Pelodiscus sinensis: one gene and its partners. The protein of the gene in region 1 purifies or fractionates together with the protein of each later gene. This does not show direct contact. Links are inferred from orthologs where the notes say so. Each region holds a gene or a part of one and is shown on either strand. Other genes may lie near its edges.

The links.
Region 2: the proteins of STX7 (region 1) and VAMP4 purify together in Homo sapiens (affinity purification with mass spectrometry; 3 studies listed by BioGRID and IntAct, counting the BioPlex papers as one, with this or other methods). This does not show direct contact. The link is inferred for Pelodiscus sinensis from reciprocal best matches to the Homo sapiens genes STX7 and VAMP4.
Region 3: the proteins of STX7 (region 1) and NAPG purify together in Homo sapiens (affinity purification with mass spectrometry; 3 studies listed by BioGRID and IntAct, counting the BioPlex papers as one, with this or other methods). This does not show direct contact. The link is inferred for Pelodiscus sinensis from reciprocal best matches to the Homo sapiens genes STX7 and NAPG.

What each region holds. Positions count from the first base shown.
Region 1 is NC_134713.1:94,319,163-94,326,380, reverse strand, and holds the start of STX7 (syntaxin-7), read left to right. Parts: upstream 1-4,208; 5' UTR 4,209-4,365; intron 4,366-7,218. UniProt on the Homo sapiens protein: May be involved in protein trafficking from the plasma membrane to the early endosome (EE) as well as in homotypic fusion of endocytic organelles. Mediates the endocytic trafficking from early endosomes to late endosomes and lysosomes.
Region 2 is NC_134719.1:64,088,839-64,095,688, reverse strand, and holds the start of VAMP4 (vesicle-associated membrane protein 4), read left to right. Parts: upstream 1-3,830; 5' UTR 3,831-3,983; intron 3,984-6,137; 5' UTR 6,138-6,196; coding exon 6,197-6,262; intron 6,263-6,850. Other genes in the region: METTL13 (eEF1A lysine and N-terminal methyltransferase), read right to left, coding at 1-268, 1,591-1,743. UniProt on the Homo sapiens protein: Involved in the pathway that functions to remove an inhibitor (probably synaptotagmin-4) of calcium-triggered exocytosis during the maturation of secretory granules.
Region 3 is NC_134712.1:85,948,663-85,956,316, reverse strand, and holds the start of NAPG (gamma-soluble NSF attachment protein), read right to left. Parts: upstream 3,021-7,654; 5' UTR 2,919-3,020; coding exon 2,863-2,918; intron 1-2,862. UniProt on the Homo sapiens protein: Required for vesicular transport between the endoplasmic reticulum and the Golgi apparatus.

The DNA of each region.
Region 1 (7,218 bases):
GATGCTCTGCCCCAGGCGTCCCCAAGTCAGCCACTGCTGAAACTGACCAGCGCTGACTACAGGAAGCCCGAGGCAGAGTTGCTCTGCCCCAGGCTTCTTGGAATCAGCCGCTGATCAGTTTCAGCAGCAGCTGACTTGGGGACGCCTGGGGTTCTTAAGTTGAATCTGTATGTAAGTCGGAACTGGTGTCCAGATTCAGCCGCTGTTGAAACTGATCAGCGGCTGATTCCAGGAAGCCCGGGGCAGAGCAGCTCTGCCTCTGGCTTCCTGTAGTCAGCCGCTGGTCAGTTTCAGCAGTGGCTGAATTTGGACGCCAGTTCCAACTTACATACAGATTCAATTTAAGAACAAACCTACAGTCCCTATCTTGTACGTAACCCAGGGACTGCCTGTATGGGCACATGAACCTGATTTTGACCCACAAGAAGCAGAGCAGATGCTCCCTAATCAAATGTTTATTTAACCCTGAATTTAACACTCAAATACTTTGAAGATGGAAGCTATAGAAATAAATAGCTGAGATAATCTGTCAGAAAATACTGATCAGAAGCATTTCCTTTTCCCTTTTCTTGGGCCAACTGGATCTGTTTTGTGATCTGCCTCTCCTTCCATTCTGTAACATCCTTGTGGCCACAACTATTGCTTACTTGGAAGAATAATATTAGGTAAATATTTAATGTATTTGTATCTGTCTTGTAACATAGAAAAGCTGCTGGAGGCAAGGAGGAGAATACAGTAACAGTGCATACCAAGAAAATCTCCAGGGGCCATCAAAATCCTGCACAACACTGTTTGGGAACTTCTGCCTTATTTCATAAGTGTCATACATTTCTATCAGAAGACATGAAATGCAGACAGAGGTATCCATATGTTGCAAATCAAAGTGAACTGCTCCCTAAGTTACAAAGTGTCTGCTCTGAACAAGACATTTTTTATCAGAAATACAAATCCAAAACAAAATGCTCATATATATATATATATATATATATATATATATATATATATATATATATATATATATTTGTATATTGCTTTGACAGAAGAAATGTATTATGATCTCATCTGAGTCCATGTAAATCTAGAATGACTGTACTGAAAGCACTGAAGTCATATTGGTGTAAAACCAATGAGAGATCATATTCAAGCTCACGATCTTCAGCTAGCAGAGGAGAGTAGTGTAACGTCACTATTTTGCCATCTAGTGGTAAATACTGGGTTATCCAAAATATACTACAACTGTAAGGAAAATAAAGTAATACAAACAGTATTAAAATAATTGCCAATCAGAATGAAATATTAAACCCAAAATGAGCATGCATACAGAATGTATGTAGCATATGATAGCATAAATGTCCAGGAGTGCCATTTTTATTACTTTTTATGTATAAAAGTCACAGCACCTTTGCTTGCACAACAGAATTCCAAATAGCTAGAGCATGAAGAACTCACCTAAATCCTACCAATCTACTTTGTTCCACCTCTCTAGCATGCTTTAACACAATGAGGGGCAACCTCGGGTAGTGAGTGGACTGCACAAGTGGCCCTCCTTCACCTCAGTGGGCTGCAAGAATATTGTAACTAAGACGGTCTCCCAGGATAGGGTAGTTTTGCTAACTGTGCTTACCTACCTAGCATTTGCAAGGTGTGCTGTTTGAACTGTAACAACACTTTGATTGGATACAGAAAGCACACAGGTCTCACAATGTTGTGTGCAATCAGCACATACTTCACTTCACATGCACTTGCTTTAAGTATGTGTCACTTTTTAAATATTGGTAGAAAAAAACACTCAGCAGATGAAAAGCAGTGTAATCCGGCAATCCTGTGCATGAGCAACAGTAAACAAAACGTCTCATGGGCCACTCACAGAACCACAATGGGCCACATGAGTCCCTTAGGTTGCTCACTGCTGCTTTAGTAGCTATAACTAAATACTATCAATGGCTACGTCTACACTGGCATGAATTTCCGAAAATGCTTTTAACGGAAAAGTTTTCCGTTAACAGCATTTTTGGAAAAGCGCGTCTAGATTGGCAGGATGCTTTTCTGCAAAAGCACTTTTTGCGGAAAAGCGTCTGTGGCCAAACTAGACGCGGTTTTCCGCAAAAAAGCCCCGATCGCCTTTTTCACGATCGGGGCTTTTTTGCGGAAAAGAGTACTATGCTGTCTACATTGGCCCTTTTGCGCAAAAGTCTTTCGGAAAAAGACTTTTGCCTGAACGGGAGCAGCATAGTTTTTCTGGAAAAGCACTGATGATTTTACATGAGATCGTCAGTGCTTTTCCGGAAATTCAAGCGGACAGTGTAGACAGCTGGCAAGTTTTTCTGCAAAAGCAGATGATTTTGAGGAAAAACTTGCCAGTCTAGACACAGCCAATTTATTTAAATTAACTGAAGAGAGGGCACCATGTCTGTAATAATCAACCAGATGGAAAAGTTATGTGGAACGAGTATTGATATCAAAACGTTAGCAAATAGTTTTTGTCTGGGTTTTTCTTTTTCTTCTAAGTTGTTTTAACTTTTCACTGTTATTGTATTATGGTAGCAGCTAAAACCTCCAAGCAAAGCTCCACAGTGCTACACAGCTAAAACAAACACATAACAAAAACAGTCTGTTTCCTAAAGAGCTCACAGGTTAAGTAACTTTTATGCATCTCTGCCATATTTATATAAGCATATATTTGGAATTAGAAGGGTTTTGTTTTGTTTTTCTACAAAGAACATTGGACTCCAATTTCAGACTTCGAATGAACACTTTCTCAAAATTAAAAAGCCAGTGAGAAGATTCTTGATATCCACAATAATAAAGTTGTAGAACTGCCTAGAAGCCAAAGATGACTGGGAATAGAAGACATCTATAGTGGGTGGAAACAACTATCATTAAACATTGAAAAGACAGAAGTGGGTGGAGCTGTGAACTGCTCCTCTTCTAATTACCAGACTCCAGGACTGAGGCTGTACAGTTCCCAACTTCCTGCTCTGCAGTTGCAGGTTCACAGTATGTTAGAGGAGGACTGCATGGCTGAAACTGTGACTATCCACCTGCTTTCTGAGGGAACAGAGTCCAGCTGTAGAAAAAGATTCCAAAACTGGAGACTCTGCTCACCAATTGAGAGCAAGAATGTGTATGTGTAGAAGCTGAGTTCTCTTAGGCTCAAGCCCATTCTGTAGTGGAGGGTCTGTGGGTGAGAATGCGGCCAGGCTCCTCTGTGTCCAGTTAGAATCTAGAGCATTATTCCTCAGGAAGACAAAGGAGCTGGATCTTCTACCTGTTCGCCTGCATTTTTAACCTGATTTTGAGGTCTCGGAGAGCATTGCTACACTATGGAGAAGACTGACCCTCGGGAGGTCAATTTAATGTTCAAGTTAGCAGGTCTAGCGTAGATTCCCAAATTGAACGCTGAAGGCAGCCCCCACCGGGGTCAGGGAAGCTGGTGGGAGTGTGTGCTCCCACCAGCCTCCTGCAGTGTAGACGCTGCAGTGGCTCAGTTTAAGATAAGCTGATCCCAGCTAGCATTTCGTGTAGCTGGATGGAGTACCTTAAGCCAATCTGCCTGGTCTAGTGCACTCAGGGCCTAAGATAGTTGGGGGCTGGCTCTTCTCTTCCTTTCCTCCTGGGCACTAGCTCAATTAGGAGCTCTTTAATCATCTGAAATTAAAAAAAAAATCCTACAAAGAGGGGAAACATGGCTGAATAGTTAAGGAAGAAAGGATAGTACAAGCATGGCAAAACAAAATCAGACAGGGTAAGGCACAAAAGGGGTTACATGTAGCAAGGGGCATACACAAGGCAATACAATGAGAGGCTTGACATACATCGGGAGCAAGAGAAAGATGAAGGAAACTATAGGTCACGTGCTTAACAAGGAAGGCGAGCTAATAACTGAGGGCATCCAGATACGTGAGGCGCTGAATGCTCAGACCCAGTCCATAGCCAACATCTTGGCTGCAGAAGATTCGCCAGGAGCTGAGCTTGCAGGGCTGAGCGCTAGGCTCTGAGCGGCAGCAGCTCCGCGAGGCAGAAACGCTCGGGCCGTTGAAGGAGTAAGAGATCCGGAGCGACTAGGCTCCCACCCCTGCAGCGGGCTCCCTTAATGACGCCTGACTGGAGAGGCTCCCGCTTTGCGCGCTCAGGGGGCCGCCCGGAGGCTGCAGGCGGCGGCGCGCCGGGCTCAGCCCGCTAGGGGGCGGGAAGGCAGCTGCTTGCCGCGTCACTGGGCCCAGGCGAAGGGGCGGGGCCGGCGAGCTCAGCCCCGCCTCCTCTCCCCGGGACTCTTCTGCTGCAGCCGGAGCCGCCGCTCAGCTGAGCGGTGCCGTGCGGCGTCCTGAGCCCGGCTGTGCTGGGAGGCGGAGCCGCTGGGGCCTGGTAAGAGGCGCTGGGGGTGCAGCGGCGCCCAGGGGAGTCGCTGCGCTCGCTTGTCTTTCCGGGGGTGCCCCCGGGGGGTGCCGCCCTGCTCCCGGGCGGCTCCAGCTTCCCCGCGGCAAGGGGGCGGGCAGCAGCGGGGGCCGCCCTGCCCGCGTGGTGGGGGGCGGCGTGCGGGTGCGGCACAGCTCCCAGCCCCGCTGGCGAGAGGGGAGGGGCAGGGCAGACGCGGCGGCTGCCCACGGGAAGGGATCGGTTCCGCATTCCCGCGGCCCATCGCCGCCGAGCTGCAGCCCGTCCCTGCGCCCGGCTGCACCCGCGGCTGGCTGGAGAGCGGGTAGCCCTCGCCCGTCGGGGGCACACGCCCGCCCTGCTTCCCACCTCCTTGGACTGTTTCCCCAGAGCCAAGAGCGACTCGTGCACCCCAAGAGGGTTGTGCGAGAGCCGAGTCTGGGTGGAGGCAGTGTTTGTCATGTGCGGGTGTGCCCTTGTGCTTCGTGCTCCCACAGAGGGAGGGTTAACGCTCAGGAAGGAAACGCCTCCCTCCCGCCCCTTCTGTCTTCCTTTGCAGCCCTGCAGTTGTTGCAGTGTCAAAGAATTGCAGCATTTCTTTCTCCTGACACTGAGCAAAGAATTTCTTGGAGCAGTGATACCCCCAAACTGTTATTGTATATATCCCTCTTTAGGGATTGTCTACCTGGACACGTAGAGGGTGTAGAGGGTGCCTTCACTATGCGTAGGCAACGATCAATCCAGCAGGGGTAGATTTTTTTTTTTTTTACACTATAAATTGATGCTGAGTGCTCACCTGTTGACTCCAGTATGCCACCAGAATGAGAAGCGTAGGTGGGGTAGATATGAGTTCAACTTACTGTGGTGAGCATACAACAATAAGTAGATCTAGGTATGTCGCTGTCAGCTACGTTATGTTTATGTAGCTGAAGTTGCACAGCTTGGATCCATGGCCTGCTGTAGGGTAGATAGATTGGGCCCTAGTTTGCAGCAAGTTGAGACATAAGCTTGTCTTGCATTAAGAGACTACTGTGTGCTGCCAGGCACTCATGGGTTCCTTGTCTACTTCCATTTCAAAGTGGGATAGAGCAAAGTGCAGAGCTGAGTTTTTGATATGCTGCTGTTTGACAAGCAGGTATTGTAGAGCTTTTGGGAAGTTGCTGGACTGCCTGTGTGCAGAAAGTTAGTGTATGAAAACCTGAAAGTGTGAATCCTTGATCTTTTTTTGTGCTCGTTATCACATCCACTACTTCACTGTTTTAAAGCATGTGTATATATGTTTGTGTAAATAAGTTAATGTGCCCTCTGAGTCTGCTGAGTCTGCTATCACGTAGCTACATGCAACATAACAAAAATGTTTGTTTTTACATGTGGCTCTTGAATACATTAGTAGATTCTAATGCTGGAAGTGACCCAATTGTGATCACCTAGAAATCAACACACCCCATAGAATTTCCCCAAAATAATCCCTAGAACATACAGTATCTTGTAAATTTAGAAAAACATCCAGTCTTGAGTTTTAGATTGTTAAAGATGACCTTTGATAAACTGTTCCAGTTGTAATTACTCAGTGTTAATGTATGCTTTATTTCCTGTCTGAATGTTTCCACCTTCAACTTCTAACCATTGAATTAAATTGCTCTCTTTACTTGAATGAGGATCCTATTATTAAATACTTGTTTCTCCATGTAAGTACTGAAACTGTAACCGGGTCGTCCTTTACTCTTGATAAACTCCTTGAAAGGAGTTCTAAGTACGGTAGGCGTACTCTAGTCCCTTAATGCTACCCTGAAAAGTAAGAACCCTTAAACAAGTGGTCCTGTAGCACTTTAGAAATTAACCCCAAAAAAAGTATCATGAGCTTTTGTGAGCACAACGCTCTTTTTCAGATGAGTGGAGCTAGAGGGGGGGGGTTCCAACCTGGGGCAGAGGATTGGGGTGCAGGAGAAGGAGTAGGGTATGAGCTCCAGCCAGGCAGTCCTTACTTCTGGGCAGCAGCACAGCAGGACTCAGGCAGGCTCCTTACTTTTCCTGATTCCGTGTGCCTCCCAGAAGCGGCTGCCATGTTCTGCTCCTAGGTGGCGGAGCTAGAGAGCTCTGTGTGCTTCCTGTGCCCACAGGTACTGCCCCCATAGCTCTCCTTAGATGCAGTTTTTGCTCAGTGGGAGCTGCGGAGCTGGCACTGAGGATGAGGGCAGTGCACACAGCTTCCCTGATAGCTCCTAAGGGCCGCAGAGACATGCCAGCCGCTTCCAGGAGATGCAGAGAGCCAGGACAGGTATGCAGCCTGCCTTACCTCCTGTGCCATTAACTAGACTTTTATGGCCTGGTCAGCAGTAAGGATGTAAAATCCTGTTTAATTGGTTAAATGCTTAAATGTGATGCTTAACGGGTTAAAGGGGTGGGGAGCAGGGAGGCCAAAAGAACTCATCTTAATTCTATTTTCTGATATTTCTTACAAACTAAAATGCATCACAAATCAAGGCTGGGCAACAGTTTTTGATGTGGGGCTGTTCCTAAGAATTTGGTAAGTGGTCAAGTGCTGCACTCCTAATATTAAGGGAGGAGGTGCAGGGTATGGAATGGAGGTTGGATGAGGGTAGGTGAGTGGGGCATAGGATCTGGGAGAGGGCATGGTTGCAGGAGGGCATTATAACATGGAGGTGGCAGTGCAGGATCTAGGAGAGGCTTGTGACCTGGGACAAGGGTGCAGGAGGGGAGTGTAAGGATTTGGGTTGTGACTTAGGGCAAGGGGAAGGGCTGTGACCTGGGGCAGGTGAGGGGGGAGGGGAGACGTGGTCTGGGAGAGAGACGTATGCAGGATCAGGGGGGCAGAAGGTATGG
Region 2 (6,850 bases), on another chromosome or scaffold:
TGTCCACCCTTTCGAGAGTGGCCTCCTCTTCGTCGACCAGGATGGCATCCAGGGTGCCCTTGTCCAGCACCACCTGGAAGCGGGCGTCCGGGAAGTCCATCTGCAGCATGTCCATCACCAGGAAGCTCATCTTCGGCCTCCTGTCGGCGTTGCGCTCCCTCATCTGCTTGATCACCACCTCGCTGATGTCCACGTTCACGATGTCCTGGTAGCCGACGTCATACATCTGCTCGCTCAGCTCGGAGTTGCCGCAACCCACCACGAGCACCTGGGACATGCAAAGAGAGGGTAGCTTCCCTGGGGGTCCCAACCCGCCTCACACACCATGGAGACGAGCAAACACCCGTGGGGAACGGATGCCGGGGGGGGGGGGCCTTGGGGGAGAGGAGGATCGGGGGGGGGGACATTGGGGGAGAGAGGGGGAAGGGATCCCGGGGGGGCTGCTGGGAGAAGGGAAGGGATGCTGAGGGGGCATTGGGGGAGGGAGAATCCGGGAGGGCACTGGGGGGAGGGGAAGGGGGATCCCGCTGGAGGGAAGGGAAGGGATCTCAGGGGGAAGGAGCGGTTGCAGGATCCCGGAGGAGGCGCTGGGAGGGGAGGGGGATCCCAGGGGGTATCCGGGGGGGGCGCTGGGAGGGGAGGGGGATCCCGGGGGGGGGCGCTGGGAAGGAAAGGGATGCCAGGGGGGGCGCTGGGGGAGGGAGATCCCGGGGGAGGGATCCGGGGGGGCGCTGGGGGAGGGGAGGGGGATCCCGGGGGAGGGATCCGGGAGGGCGCTGGGGGAGGGGAGGGGGATCCCGGGGGAGGGATCCGGGGGGGCGCTGGGGGAGGGGAGGGGGATCCCGGGGGAGGGATCCGGGGGGGGCGCTGGGGGAGGGGAGGGGGATCCCGGGGGGGCGCTGGGGGAGGGGAGGGGGATCCCGGGGGGGCGCGAGGGGAGGGGGATCCCGGGGGGGCGCTGGGGGAGGGGAGGGGGATCCCGGGGGGGCGCTGGGGGAGGGGAGGGGGATCCGGGGGGGGGCTGGGGGAGGGGAGGGGGATCCCGGGGGGCGCTGGGGGAGGGGAGGGGGATCCCGGGGGGGATCCCGGGGGGGCGCTGGGGGAGGGGAGGGGGATCCCGGGGGGGTCCGGGGGGGCGCTGGGGGAGAGGAGGGGGATCCGGGGGGGCGCTGGGGGAGGGGAGGGGGATCCCGGGGGGGCGCTGGGGGAGGGGAGGGGGATCCCGGGGGGGCGCTGGGGGAGGGGAGGGGGATCCCGGGGGGGATCCCGGGGGGGCGCTGGGGGAGGGGAGGGGGATCCCGGGGGGCGCTGGGGGAGGGGAGGGGGATCCCGGGGGGGTCCGGGGGGGCGCTGGGGGAGGGGAGGGGGATCCCGGGGGGGGCGCTGGGGGAGGGGAGGGGGATCCCGGGGGAGGGATCCGGGGGGGGCGCTGGGGGAGGGGAGGGGGATCCCGGGGGGGGCGCTGGGGGAGGGGAGGGGGATCCCGGGGGGGCGCTGGGGGAGGGGAGGGGGATCCCGGGGGGGGTCCGGGGGGGCGCTGGGGGAGGGGAGGGGGATCCCGGGGGGGCGCAGGGGGGGCCGGGGTCTCACCGTGTCGCGGGGGCGCGCGTAGCGGCGCAGGGCGGGGCGGAGCTGCGCGTACCCGCCGTACCACTCGAAGGCGCGCGCGCCGCGCTGGCGGAAGAAGCGCTCCCAGTAGCCGGCCGAGCCGAACTCGCGCGCGCTGCGGGGCAGCAGCGCCATGGCAGGGGGCGGGGCCTCTCCCCACGTGCGCCCGCGCCGCGCCGCGCGACCCTGGGACGTTGCGACGCTACGTCCGCGTCCGGAGCCCGCCCATTGCGGGGCGGGCGGGGCTCGGAGGCGGGGGCGGGGCCCCGGGGCGGGGCTGGGAGGCTGTGACATGAATCCATGGGCTGCAGAACCAAAGCCTCCCCAGGGGGCAGTGGCTACAGCTTCGCGCCTGCCCGAGCCTGCAGGCAGGGGGCGTGGCCATTCTCCGCTCAGCTGGGTGTTGACTCTGGACCCTAATGACATCGGGACAGGCAGCGACCAGAGGAGGCAGGAACTGCACACAAGTAGCAGCCCAGAAGAGGAAGCTGCATACCAAATGTGGTGGTCCTAGCCCTTACCATTTAGGAAGAGTTCTTGAACAAACAGACTCACAATTGGACAGACAGATGCACATTTTTAAAATACATAAGTACATTTGAACCATCCCTTAGACCACACCAGTGCAACTGCCCAAAATGTCAGTTGGGAAGAGAGAGAGCCAAATCCGAATCAGCATAGCTTGATTGATAAATTCACACCAGGTAAGGATCAGACCCATTCACACATTCAGACTAGCCAAATGTTCAACTGCTGTTTACTGAAAACAGGAGGAAAGGAGGGAAGGTTATAATGATATTGGCATAAACAGACACCCAGCATACACTGATTGGAAAGAAGCTCATATATTTAACAAAATAACAGATGGAGAATTATTAATGCCATCAAATGCCTTTGCAAGAAAACAAACAAAACAACAACAAAAACGTACGGTAGCTATATGTTAGGCTTGTTTCCTGCTTGTATAAAAACAACCCAGCTAATCAGAATCTCAAAAGAGTATTTTCCAAAAGCAGATTTACAATAGTGACAGCAGTTAGAGGCAGATCAGTTGTGGAAGGTTGTAAGTATGCGCAAAACATCCTGCTTTTCTGCACGGTTGCAACTGGTTCCGCAAACGGCAGCATTTTAAAAGCCACCCTCTGAGTCAGGAAGCCCCAGATTGGATCTTCCTTTTGGCAAGTATCGTTGTGCAGAGTTTGTGGATTTGCCGTAGGTGTGTGTGCTTTCGCTCCAAAGAGGGACTGCTTCCATCTCCTTTTTCTAAACACAGGGGCTACGTCTACACTGGCCCCTTTTCCGAAAGGGGCATGCTAATTTTACAGGTCGTAATAGGGAAATCCGCGGGGGATTTAAATATCCCCCGCGGCATTTAAATAAAAATATCCGCCGCTTTTTTCCGGCTTTTAGAAAAGCCGGAAAAGAGCGTCTACACTGGCCCCGATCCTCCGGAAAAAAGCCCTTTTCCGGAGGATCTCTTATTCCTACTTTGAAGGAATGAAGGCTGGAGAAAAGGCCCTGTAGGGGGTCTTAGAGTTCAATATGTTCTGTTCTTCTCCAAAGTAAGATTGAGAAGTGAATTGATCAGGATTTTTACACACAGAAAATGCAGGTGCCCACCGTGGAACAGTTGATCGTGGTGGAGAGATGGGGAGGTGCTGATCGGCAGAGCTACAGGCGGGCGGGAGGCATTTGGGTGCGGAAGAGGTCCGGGGGGTGGCTGGTTCGCGCCCCCCCCCCCCCCCGCCTTTCTGGAAGATGTAGGTGAGTCAGACACAAGCTAGTAGGTGCAGGTGGGTGAAAATCTGCGGCCTGCAGTATAGACTAGAATGATCCAACCATCGCTTCTGGCCTTAACATCTTTGGGGTCTAGTCACGCGGGTTGGGGGCTCGCTGATACACGTCTGAACGCCAGCGCTTCGAAGGCAAGCGCCTAATTCCCCTTGGCTTCAATGGCAGCAAGCGCCTAATTCCCCTTGGCTTCAATGGCAGTCACGCACCTAAGTGCCTTGTAGGATCTGGGCCGGGGGCATTTCCTCCCTCCCGCACTGGGACTGAACAATCGCTGTGCGTGCGGGGGGGTGCAGAGCCCCCCCCCCCGTGCTGCACCCCCGCGTGGACACGGGCCGGGACCGCGACAGCCCCGAGCGCCGCGCCGCTGCCCACGTGGGCTCCCAGCTGGCAGCGAGCCTCAGCCCCGCCCCCTCGCGCGAGTGGGCTCGAGACACGCGCGCGCCCCCCAGGGGCCAGCCCGCCGAGCGCCGGGCAGGAATCGATGGCTCGGCGCTCGGCCCGGATCGCCGAGCGCTCGATGGAGCAGCTGACTCGCAGCTGGGCCCCTCCGCGCAGCCCGGCCATTTCCCAGCCGCGGAGCGGTGAGCGGGGCCGGCAGGGGGGTTATCGGGAGGGGGCTCCGGGGGGGCAGGGCCTGGGGGCCCTTGGGGAGGGGGCTCTGTGGGGGGCAGGGCCTGGGGGCCCTTGGGGAGGGGGCTCTGTGGGGGGCAGGGCCTGGGGGCCCTGGGGGAGGGGGCTCTGTAGGGGGGGAGGGGGCCCTTGGGGAGGGGGCTCTGTGGGGGGCAGGGCCTGGGGGCCCTGGGGGAGGGGGCTCTGTGGGGGGCAGGGCCTGGGGGCCCTTGGGGAGGGGGCTCTGTGGGGGGCAGGGCCTGGGGGCCCTGGGGGAGGGGGCTCTGTGGGGGGCAGGGCCTGGGGGCCCTGGGGGAGGGGGCTCTGTAGGGGGGGAGGGGGCCCTTGGGGAGGGGGCTCTGTGGGGGGAATGGGGTGGGAATTGGGGGGGTCCTTGGAGGCCGTTCTGTGGAGAGGCTTTGGGGGTTCTGTGGGTGAAGGGCTTTGGGGGCTCCCAGCTACGTGTGCTTGCAGAGCTCTTGCCCCCTCTGCTGTTGTCTGGTGGCCCCGTGTAGACTCATGCTGCACGTGAGCTCGTCTCAGGGTCCCCTCTCCTCCCAAGCGCTGGGTTTTAGAGGGGAGTGGGGTTCGGGGGCTTCACGGGGGAGGGGTCCCAGGAGAGACCCATCGGGGAAAGCAGTTCCCTAGCACTGGGGTATCTCTCACTTCCTCCAGCCTGTGCTCATTGCCAGGGCTTCTCCTCTACCGGCCACATGATCCCTCCGATAACCCCCAGCCCAGCCCCTCGTATTCGCTGTGGTCCCTGCTTCCGGCCCAGCCAGCTGGGTGACACCCGCCCCCCCCCCACTCCTTGCCCAGGACCATTGTACCCCCCTACCCCCATCAGCTGCCTGGGTGACTTCTCCAGATTCTCTAACTTGTGCCTCTTTTGCTCCTGGCTTCGGTTGTGTCTGGACTGTTGCTCTTAACCTGTAGCGACACTCTCATCCTTCAGCACATGGGGACAGGCCCTGCCCTGCTGCGGGCTGTCTGGCTGTTTAGGGGAGCAGACAGTGCTCGCTGTGCTGGGACATTGGCTAAATTTCCTGCATTTCTGGTATTGTCACAGCCTACGGCTCTCCCTGCAATTTTCCATGTGCCCGCTCCGGGGTGGCAGGTTCCCCGGGATTGCAACGTTTCATCTCCACTGACTCCTGCAGCCGAGGAGAGTGGTGATGTTCAAACCCGCAAAGCCGTATCCAGGGTACTTGGGGTAGAAAGCCGCTTAGGATAGAACTGGGTGGCTCGGGGAGCCAGATTCTTTACCTCCTGGGTCACTGGGACACGGAGCCAGACGAGGTCAGCCCTGCAAGTGATCACTATGAAGTGGGGTGCAGTTCCTTGCTGACAGATATTTACCCAGCCCAGCTCTCCACCACCCTCGGCATCTGTGGGTCACTCCCAAAGACGCCAAGGGCAGGGGCCGTCTGTCTGGCTCAGGTGGAACGGAACACGTTGGCGGAGGAACGCTGGAGAACTTTGCATGCTGCCGTGCCTACATGAGATGGGCCTGTTCTGTAGAGAAGCAGGGTTTAACTCTTCCAACTGGGCCCCTCGTTGGCACTGACCGTAGCAAAGGGGGCAAGGTGGAAGAGAGAGAGCAGACCGCGCTTGGCCAAAATCCTGTGGGGGCTCGTCAGGTTTTATTGCTTTTCTTTCCTGGTTTAGTAACCTGTGGCTTTTTGATAAAATTGGTCGCTTTGGGGTTTTAGACCAAAGGGCTTGATAAGGGTTGTGGATCGGTTCTCCGCTGTGCTCAGAGCTGTACAAAAATGCAGAAAAACACAGTCCCAGCCCCAGTGAACTTAAACGCTTTGGCCTTGGCCCTCCGGAAACTCACATGTGGCCTGCACAGTCACATGCGTAAAGATAAGCAGGTACCGTCACGTCTCTTCAGGGTCAAAGTTTCTGAAACTAGACGGAACGACGTGATCTGTCCCTTGGGGTCCCTGAAAGCCTGGCATTGCTGGGCCGGTGGGTTGATTTTTCATTCTCTTTCCTGTGGCATTTGTCAATGGATTCTGTTTCACTGGGCTGAGTTTTAGGGAGACCGCGGCGATCGGACAGAGAATTGATCTCAGCACAATGGGCTCTGAGATGTTTTCTTCCCTCTCCCTTCTACGCAGCCTCTTCTTCCGCCACCCCCCGGTACAGACAGTCCAGGCCAGTTCTGTGAATAGGAAAGATGCCTCCAAAATTCAAGCGCCACCTAAACGACGACGAGGTGACCGGCTCGGTGAAAAGCGAAAGGGTGAGTGCCTGGCAACTCAGGGTCTCGTTTGCATTCGTTGGCACCCCGCCCCCTTAATTAGCAGGGGTGTGTTTACTCACACTGTGCTCTGAGATCCCTGGCTGGCACACACAGCTCCGTTGCCGGGGGCTTTGGGACCATCGGAACGGGGAGGGATTGCTGAAAGCGGACCTCAGACGAACGACATCTACCGTGATACAAGCCAAGTGGGGCACTCAGCATGTGAGCGCAGAAAGCCAGATGGGAGGACATGTTGAATCCTTCTGGCTGGCCGCGCTCAGTGCTGACTGCTTAGGATGCCTCGCTTGGTGTCTTCTCAGTTGTTGAACAACTTCTTCAGAGGGTGGAGCCAGCTGGGGGTTGTGCCTGCTAAATAATCCCTGTTTTGTAATTGGGCTGTGTGTCTGGGAGGAGACATCGGCGTTTTGCGTACACTGAGCGCTTGGGCGGCCGCCCAGGAGAGATGCAAATACTGCCCATTGATCCATAGCTGGGACCAAGTGTTTCTTGGTGGTGCGCACCTGCGCATGCCTTGGCGCACAGAACAAAATTTATTCCACACACAAATAGTCACAAATTAGAGGGAAC
Region 3 (7,654 bases), on another chromosome or scaffold:
TCCTCTCATGGGGAGTCCCTGGAGCTCTCCTAGGAGATGAAAATGCCCTGGGGTTTGGACTCCCCTCCAGAGCATACTTCCCACTCCCCAGGAAGCCTCACAAGCTGCATTTGCACACGCACGCACCCCCAGAAAGCCACACAAACTGCATTTGCGCATGCAACCTCCCCAGACAAAAAAAAGGGGGGGGGGGAGGGCATAGCCAAAATTTATTTTGCTTGGGGTGGCAAAAAGCCTAGAGCCAGCCCTGCTCCCACCCTCTTTGACAGCTTCAATGGACACCATCCTCACCCATCCATGTGAGATACAGAGAAAGGGGAGAGGACTGCTAGACACTATGGGTGAATAAGCAAGGACCAAATAGTTGGGCCTCACTGCCCCATCTGATCATACTCTGAACAGGTACTTAGACATTTCTGGACATTCTGTAACTTCACCCTCTCTTTTCAGGATAAGACTTATTTCTGATGCATGGGCAGTTTGGAATGAAAATATTTTTACTTAGCAATAGTGGAGCAATTTGCTTCAGTGTATAGGTTTTGGCATTAAAAGCTAACTACAGTAAACTTTGGATAATCCGGCACCTTTAGGACCTAGGGGGTGCCGGATTATCAGATATGCCGGACTATTGGAAAGGGGGAGAGCTATGAAGGGTCTGGGGTGGAGTAGGGGGGATGCACCCCTTGGCACTGCGGGACCAACCCGGCAGTACCTCAGCTGCTCTGCCCCAGGCTTCCCAGAGTCAGCCGCTAGTCAGTTTCAGCAGCGGCTGAATTGGGGAAGCCCGGGGCAGAGCAGCTCCAATTGTCCAGCACTTCCGGGTTCCAGATGGTGCCAGACCATCAGGAGTGCCGGACCATTGGATGCCGGACCACTGGAGTTTTACTGTAACATGCTGTATTTGACAGTTTATGTTGCCTGCCAACAGAAGGGGTGTGATGGTGTTAATGTTTAAACTGTTAACCAATTAGGCTCATAGGTTAACTTCATGGCTATGTAAAAAGCCCCCCCTCGTCCTACTGCTTCTGTATCAACAGCAGCATCGGGGACAGGCAGGAAGCCAGTGCCTGCCCTCTCCCTGTATTGCTGCCTCTGACACAGAGGCAACAGTGGAAGGGAGGGGAAGGAGAAGGTGCCATCAGCTTTGTGGGAGCTAGTACACGCAGGGAACCATCTTAAAAGTTGGCTCCCCTCTGCCCCCCTGTGTTCCTGCCTCCATATTCCTAGCCTACAGCAATGGTTTTCAACTCTCTCTCATTTGAAGACCCCGGAAAAAGATTTGAATGGAGATGTGAAGTCCTTTGGAAATCTTAAACAGTCTGCAAACTCCAAGGGACCCACCGGTAAAAAACCATTGGTCTACAATATTTTGTCTCTCTTGGCACTTAAATCATAATGTCTTTTGGAGCAATGATTACATTGAATGCATTTATACCAGGATGGGCAAAGGGCTTTCTGCGGGCCCCCTGCTGCTCTCCCTTCCTCAGGCCAACCAGGGCCTGGGGACGGAGGAGCATGCAGTTTCCTCGCCCCCACAAAAGCAGACAGCAGCTAGAGACACACACCAGCTGTTTTAAAACAACCACATTTATCTCTAGCTGCCGCACACCTTTGTCGAGAAGCTTTGCGTATTCCCTGCCCCCAGGCCAAGTAGGGTCTGGGGGCGGGGAGCAAGCAAAGTCTTTCATGTCCTGTCCCTGTCCTGCCAGGGGAGTGCGGCTGCTAGAGAGACACACCAGCTGTGTCTCTATAGCTGCCATGCGCTCTAGCGGGGGCAAGTAGACTTCACATGCTTCCCCACCCCCAGGCCCTGATTGGCCTGGGGGCAGGGAGAGTGCACAAGGTCACCTTCTACTGGGCGCCTAAAGGGAAACCACCAGCTGTTTTAAAACAGCTAGCATTTCTCTCTAGGAGGCAGGGCAGGAGATGGAGGGGGAAGACTTCTCACACCCTCCCACCCCAGGCCATCTGGGGAAGGAGCACAAGAAGTCTCCTGGCTCTGCACCTTCCAGGGTGGCCCCCTTTTAAAAATTATTGCCCACCCCTGATTTATACTATACTGTTCTCAGCATAACAGTACTAATATTAGTTGGTGGCCTTCTGGTGCCATTATTGTATACATGAACAAGCAACAAAAGCAGTTATGTGTAAACGCTTGGCTTTCAAAATAAGTTTGCTGTGAGGACAAGTTCACTTAAAACTGCTTGAGCAAAATCCAGTCCCAAGTTTCCTTTCCAGTCTATTTCTGATGCATTTCTCCTTCATCTCATTTCTCTCATTCACCTGCCTCGGAAGCGCCACTCCGCGTCTCTTTTCTTTCGCTCAGCCTCCTAGCCTGGGTCTCAGATTCCCGGGCAGTGGGGGAGGCTTCCCCGAGGTGTGAACCCAGCGGAGGGGCCCGTCACTGCCTCGCTCTACAGCGCGGGGGGGGACCTCCGGCCCGCGCTATCTGCCCCGGGCCCCGCTGTCACCGGGTTTGCGCGCACAACAGGCTGGGTTACCAGCGACTGGCCCCAGGGAAACAGGATCCGAGCCTCAGGCTGCGCCGCAAAGGTTCGTTCCGCCCCCCGCCCCCCCCGGCCAGGCTCCCGGGAACCGCCGCACCGCGCGCGCGGCATTCTGGGAGCTGTAGTTCTCTCCGCGGAAGCGCGCGGGGCTCAGCTCCCAAGGCGCCCGGCCGCGCGGGGGGGGGAACGACAGCCCGGAGCGAAGAGGAACCGGGCGGAAACGGCTGCTTCGAGAGCCCCCGGAGCCTGGAATCGCCTCCCTCCTTGCCCCGCCCCCGCGAGCGTCTCCCAGGAGCGAGCGGCACCGCCAGGCCCGCCGCTTCCTCGCTGCCCCGGCCTCCCGCGCCGCGCTCACTATTTCTCCGCCTTGGCAATGTGCTCTAGCGCCTCGTTGATCTTCTGCGCCGCCATCGCACCGGGCCGGTCTGCGCCTGACAGGAGCTGCCGCCGCCGCCACGTCCCCGCCCCTCCTGCCTCAGAGAGGAACAGGCTACGGCAAGCCGGAGAGCTCAGTATCGTACGAAGGGGGCGGGACCTGATGCTATACGCTAGCGCGCCTGCGCGAGAAGCGGCGGGAGGCGAGCCGAACGTGCCCCAAAGGGACGTGGCTGGCGGAGGCGGACGCTCGGCGGGGGGGCACAGAGTCATCCGTGCAGCAAGGGAGAGAGCTGCGCGCGCAGCTCCGGGACAGGCGTATAGTCGCGTGGCTTAAAGCTGTGTCTTCTGCCCCCCCCTTCAGGGACTCTAAGAAGAGGCTTGGCTTGTGGTGGGTCTTCCTGGTTGCACTCCAGCTCCCCTTTCAGGACAGGCACAGGAGCTGCTTAGCTGCTACTTGCCCATTCCCCAGAAGCCTGGCACAGCAGAGAAGGGGCCAAATGTTTCATGTCAAAAGCCACCTCGTTGATTTTGAATGTAAGATTTTCCCTCTCTTCACAGTATGTAAACTGCACAGGGCTATGAATATCTAACCAGGCCCCAAACCGGTGAAATTAAGAGTCAGACCATCTCTCACATGTGCACTGTCCCATGGTGTCCTTGCTGTACCGAGATAAGCTCAGCAAGCCACATATTGGCTCAGCATTTCCTCCTCCACTCCGAAAATCTAAAACTAGCAACATTAGTTGACAGATATAGCAAGGCTACCTGCTGCTCCTGCCAGGCTCCTGTAAGGTGTGTGCTTCTTGACAAGTGCTCCACACATACTCAGCCCTTTTTATTACCTCTTCCCTCCTCCCCTGGTTCTTTCCCTACATCAAACACATGCCAGAGTAAAGGAAATAGACTGGATACAACAATGTGGGAAGGCCAAGTGAGATGATCACTCACCAAACCTGCACCAGGAGCATTACTGTTTCAGGAGCCTATAGGAAACGTTGAGAGAAAGACTATGTAGCAACAAAATAGTAGGTCAGGATTCAAAATATCCCATCACATGATATGGGTCAGTTAGTACATAGTCTGGCAAGAGCAGAACAGTTCCCTCCAGAGTGTTCAAGAGAGCACTAAAAGAAACAGCCAGCTGCTGGGTCATCCTGCCCACAACATCCTCAAAAGAGTAGGGAGTTTCTTACAAGCACAAAACTAGCTGGTAGCCTCTAGGGGTGTGTCTAGACTACAAGGTTTTGTTGACAAAAGTGGACTTTTGTCGACAAAACTATACCTGCGTCTACACTGCCGCTGAGTTCTGTCAACATAACGTCAACAGAACTTGGCAGTTTTGTCGACGGCAGTAAACCTCATTCTACGAGGAATAACGCCTTTTGTCAACAGAGTTCTGTCGACAGAAGGCGTTATTGCATCTACACTGTCCTTTGTGTCTACACTATTGTCAACAAAGCGGCTTGCTTTGTCGACAGAACTGGATGCTGTCTAGACGCTCTTTGTCAACGGAAGCTTTGTCGACAGTATCTGTCGACAAAACTTCTGTCAACAAAAGCCTGTAGTCTAGATATACCCTAGGACTACGTCTACACTGGCATGATTTTCCGGAAATGTTTTTAATGGAAAAGTTTTCCGTTAAAAGCATTTTCGGAAAAGCGCGTTTAGATTGGCAGGATGCTTTTCCGCAAAAAGTGCTTTTGCGGAAAAGCGTCCTGCCAATCTAAACGCGCTTTTCCGCAAAGAAGCCCCGATCGCCATTTTCACGATCGGGGCTTTTTTGCAGAAAAGAAATCTCTGCTGTCTATACTGGCCTTTTTGCGCAAAAGTTTTTCGGAAAAAGACTTTTGCCCAAACGGGAGCAGCATAGTATTTCCGCAAAAGCACTGACAATCTTACATGAGATCGTCAGTGCTTTTGCGGAAATTCAAGCGGCCAGTGTATACAGCTGGCAAGTTTTTCCAGAAAAGCGGCTGCTTTTCCGGAAAAAGTGGCCAGTCTAGACACAGCCTAGGAGTGTATAGTGGGTTCTGAGTGGCAACTGGCAAGATTCTTGTAGCAGAGGATGACCCAAGAGATACCGTCTTCCTAGTTCTGGCAGACAGGATAGAATTTGGCCCTAGAAGTATGACTTTTCCTAGTTGCTGTGCCTTTAAATAAATATTTTTATATGGGAAGTTGTGACAGACCGAGCCGGATCTGGGCATTGTGAGAGCATCAGCTCAGGGTGAATTGCTCAAAACCAGGGCTACTTACAGCCCTCGACTGGAGACCTTTCCCAAATAGGCCACAAACCAGTCACACAGAGCACTTCAGCTGCCAATCTGGCCAGCAGGAAGCCTCACAAGCCCCTCAGACACTCCAGCTCTCCCTGTGCCGCAATCAACCCCGGACCTTACACACAGGTGAGAAGGTTTACTAACTCCGAACAGATCCTCCCAGTCCCAAAGAACCAGCCACAGTACCAGGCCAATTTACACTTTAGATCTTACCCACAAGAGCACTCTGGGCCAATCCTTTAGAATCTAAAATCTAAAGATTTATTAATGAAAGAAAAGGCTGAGAGTAAGATTGTTAAGGAGAATACATTACATACATCAATCACGAAGCTCTTGATGCATGTTCTTAGCAGAGATGTTACAAACTATTAGCTTAGAATTCTGGTGTACATGCTATATTAAGATGGGTCAGCAATCCTTCCTGGCTCTCTGTCCCATAGCAAGGATGCATCTGGAATCAGTAGCAAGATTGAAGACAAAATGGAGACATCCTCATAGCACTTTTATATTCCTGGTGCTTCCCAAATATGGAGCTGGTCACATGATCTAGTGACCTATCTGTGATTCCCATGCAAGCAGCCATGAGGCACTGGCTAGTCTGCAGGCTTCCAGACACATTCCAATGGACACCTGAGGAATGCATCTAGAAGCCTGCATTATCCATGAAGCAGTGCTAGTTAGCACAGCTGTTCACTGAACAATCCTTCTTCACAATAGGCAGTCCAGGCCCATTGCTCCCTCCTAGACAGAGAACATTTACAGTACAAGTACAGAGCCCATGTTCATAACTTCACATACAAACATCATACAAGTACATGAGTAGCATACATAGACTCAGTAAAGCATAAGCTTCTATTTGACACCTCACATGGCCTACTTTGTACAGAATTTGGGGCAAACACCACTCGTGGGTGCAACAGTGATCTGTCTGCTCACTTTAAAATCCAATAACGTGACAGAAGTGAATTAGTAGAAACAAGAAATAAGAGAGTTGCTGTTTTGTAGGCATAAAATGACCCCTATAAATACTTCTGAATCAAATTGTTTCTTTTAATTTTCCAACACTGTTCAGTTGTCTGGTTAATAAAAGCTGTTTAATTACGTATCTGCACTGTCTCATTATGCATTACTGGAATGACCAGCTAAATATTTCCAAAGATAGTAGTATTTTATGAAACAGGGGTATTCCTGGGAAACTTTTATTGTATAGTCCCAGAAGTTACAAGAAGAAACTGTTGCTTTTCAGAGGATTTTACATCTCAGAGGGCTCAATTATGATCTTTGATGTGAATTTGATTTGTACATAAGTAACTTGTTTTAAAATGGCCAGGAACTCTATTAAAAAATGTGCACTTACTACAATAGTATAGGGAATAACAAATTTTTACAACTATAGTCTCACACATTCAATTTGACTTAGTGTAGAAACAATTAGATTTTCTGTTAGATCTTGTTAATTGTACAATGTTATTGCTAGCACACCAGAAAAACTTGCTCCCTACCTAACTGTCTTTCCCCTGGGTATGCATGTCACAAACTGGTTCAGCCCTGCTCTCTGATTGGACATCAGTCTGTTGCAATTGGATCTAATGCTCCTTAGCACCACTGGGTCTGGGTAGTTACTGGTCATTATTCCTACCTCTGGGTCTCTCAGGCTAAGTCTATACTACAGCCTTCTTCCGCAAAAGCTTATGCAAATGAAGCACGGAGTCGACTACACAGCTCCTTTTTGCGCAAAAGCCTCTTGCGCAAAATGTCTGCTAATTAATTATGCAAATGAAGCTCGGCAATATTCTACTCCACATTTCATTTGAATAAGCTTTTGCAGAAGAAGGCTGCAGTATAGACGTAGCCTCAGAGTGTGTCTACACTTCATGTCAGCTGACTCAGGCTATGGCCACACTACAGTTTAAGTCAACATAAATTATGTCACTCAGAGGGGTAAATTAGCCACCCTACAAGCAACATAACTATTCCAATTTAAGCATCGTGAACTAAGGATGTTAAGAAGCGGGTAACTGATTAATTATGTAGTCAATACAATTTGTATCGACTACGCAATTAGTCGATAAGGGAAGGAGCTCTGTCCCAGCTCATGCCGGTCCAGGAGCTACCCCCACTGTGCTTCTGTAGTTTGGCCGCTCTTACTACATTTAAAATGCAGAGCCACAGTGGTCCCTGACCCGCGGGACCAAGAAAAAAGAAATGAGGCTAAATAATAAAGGAGCAGCTGGATAAAGCGGGGAGGGCAAGGTGCAGACTCTATCACTAGCACTCACCATGTTCCCTTTGCCTCACAAGCTCCACAGAGTGAGAGAGACACTGGGAAAAATCACTGGCAAGAAAACCAGGCAGAAAAGAAAGGTTCGAGCTCCCCAGGGCTGGGGCAGGGTTTGCATCCCTTGCCTGCCTCTCTTTGCCTCCTTTGCCACCCTGCACTCTTCCCAATCTTCGCCTCTTCCTGTAGTTGAAAACCCAGCATCACTGATC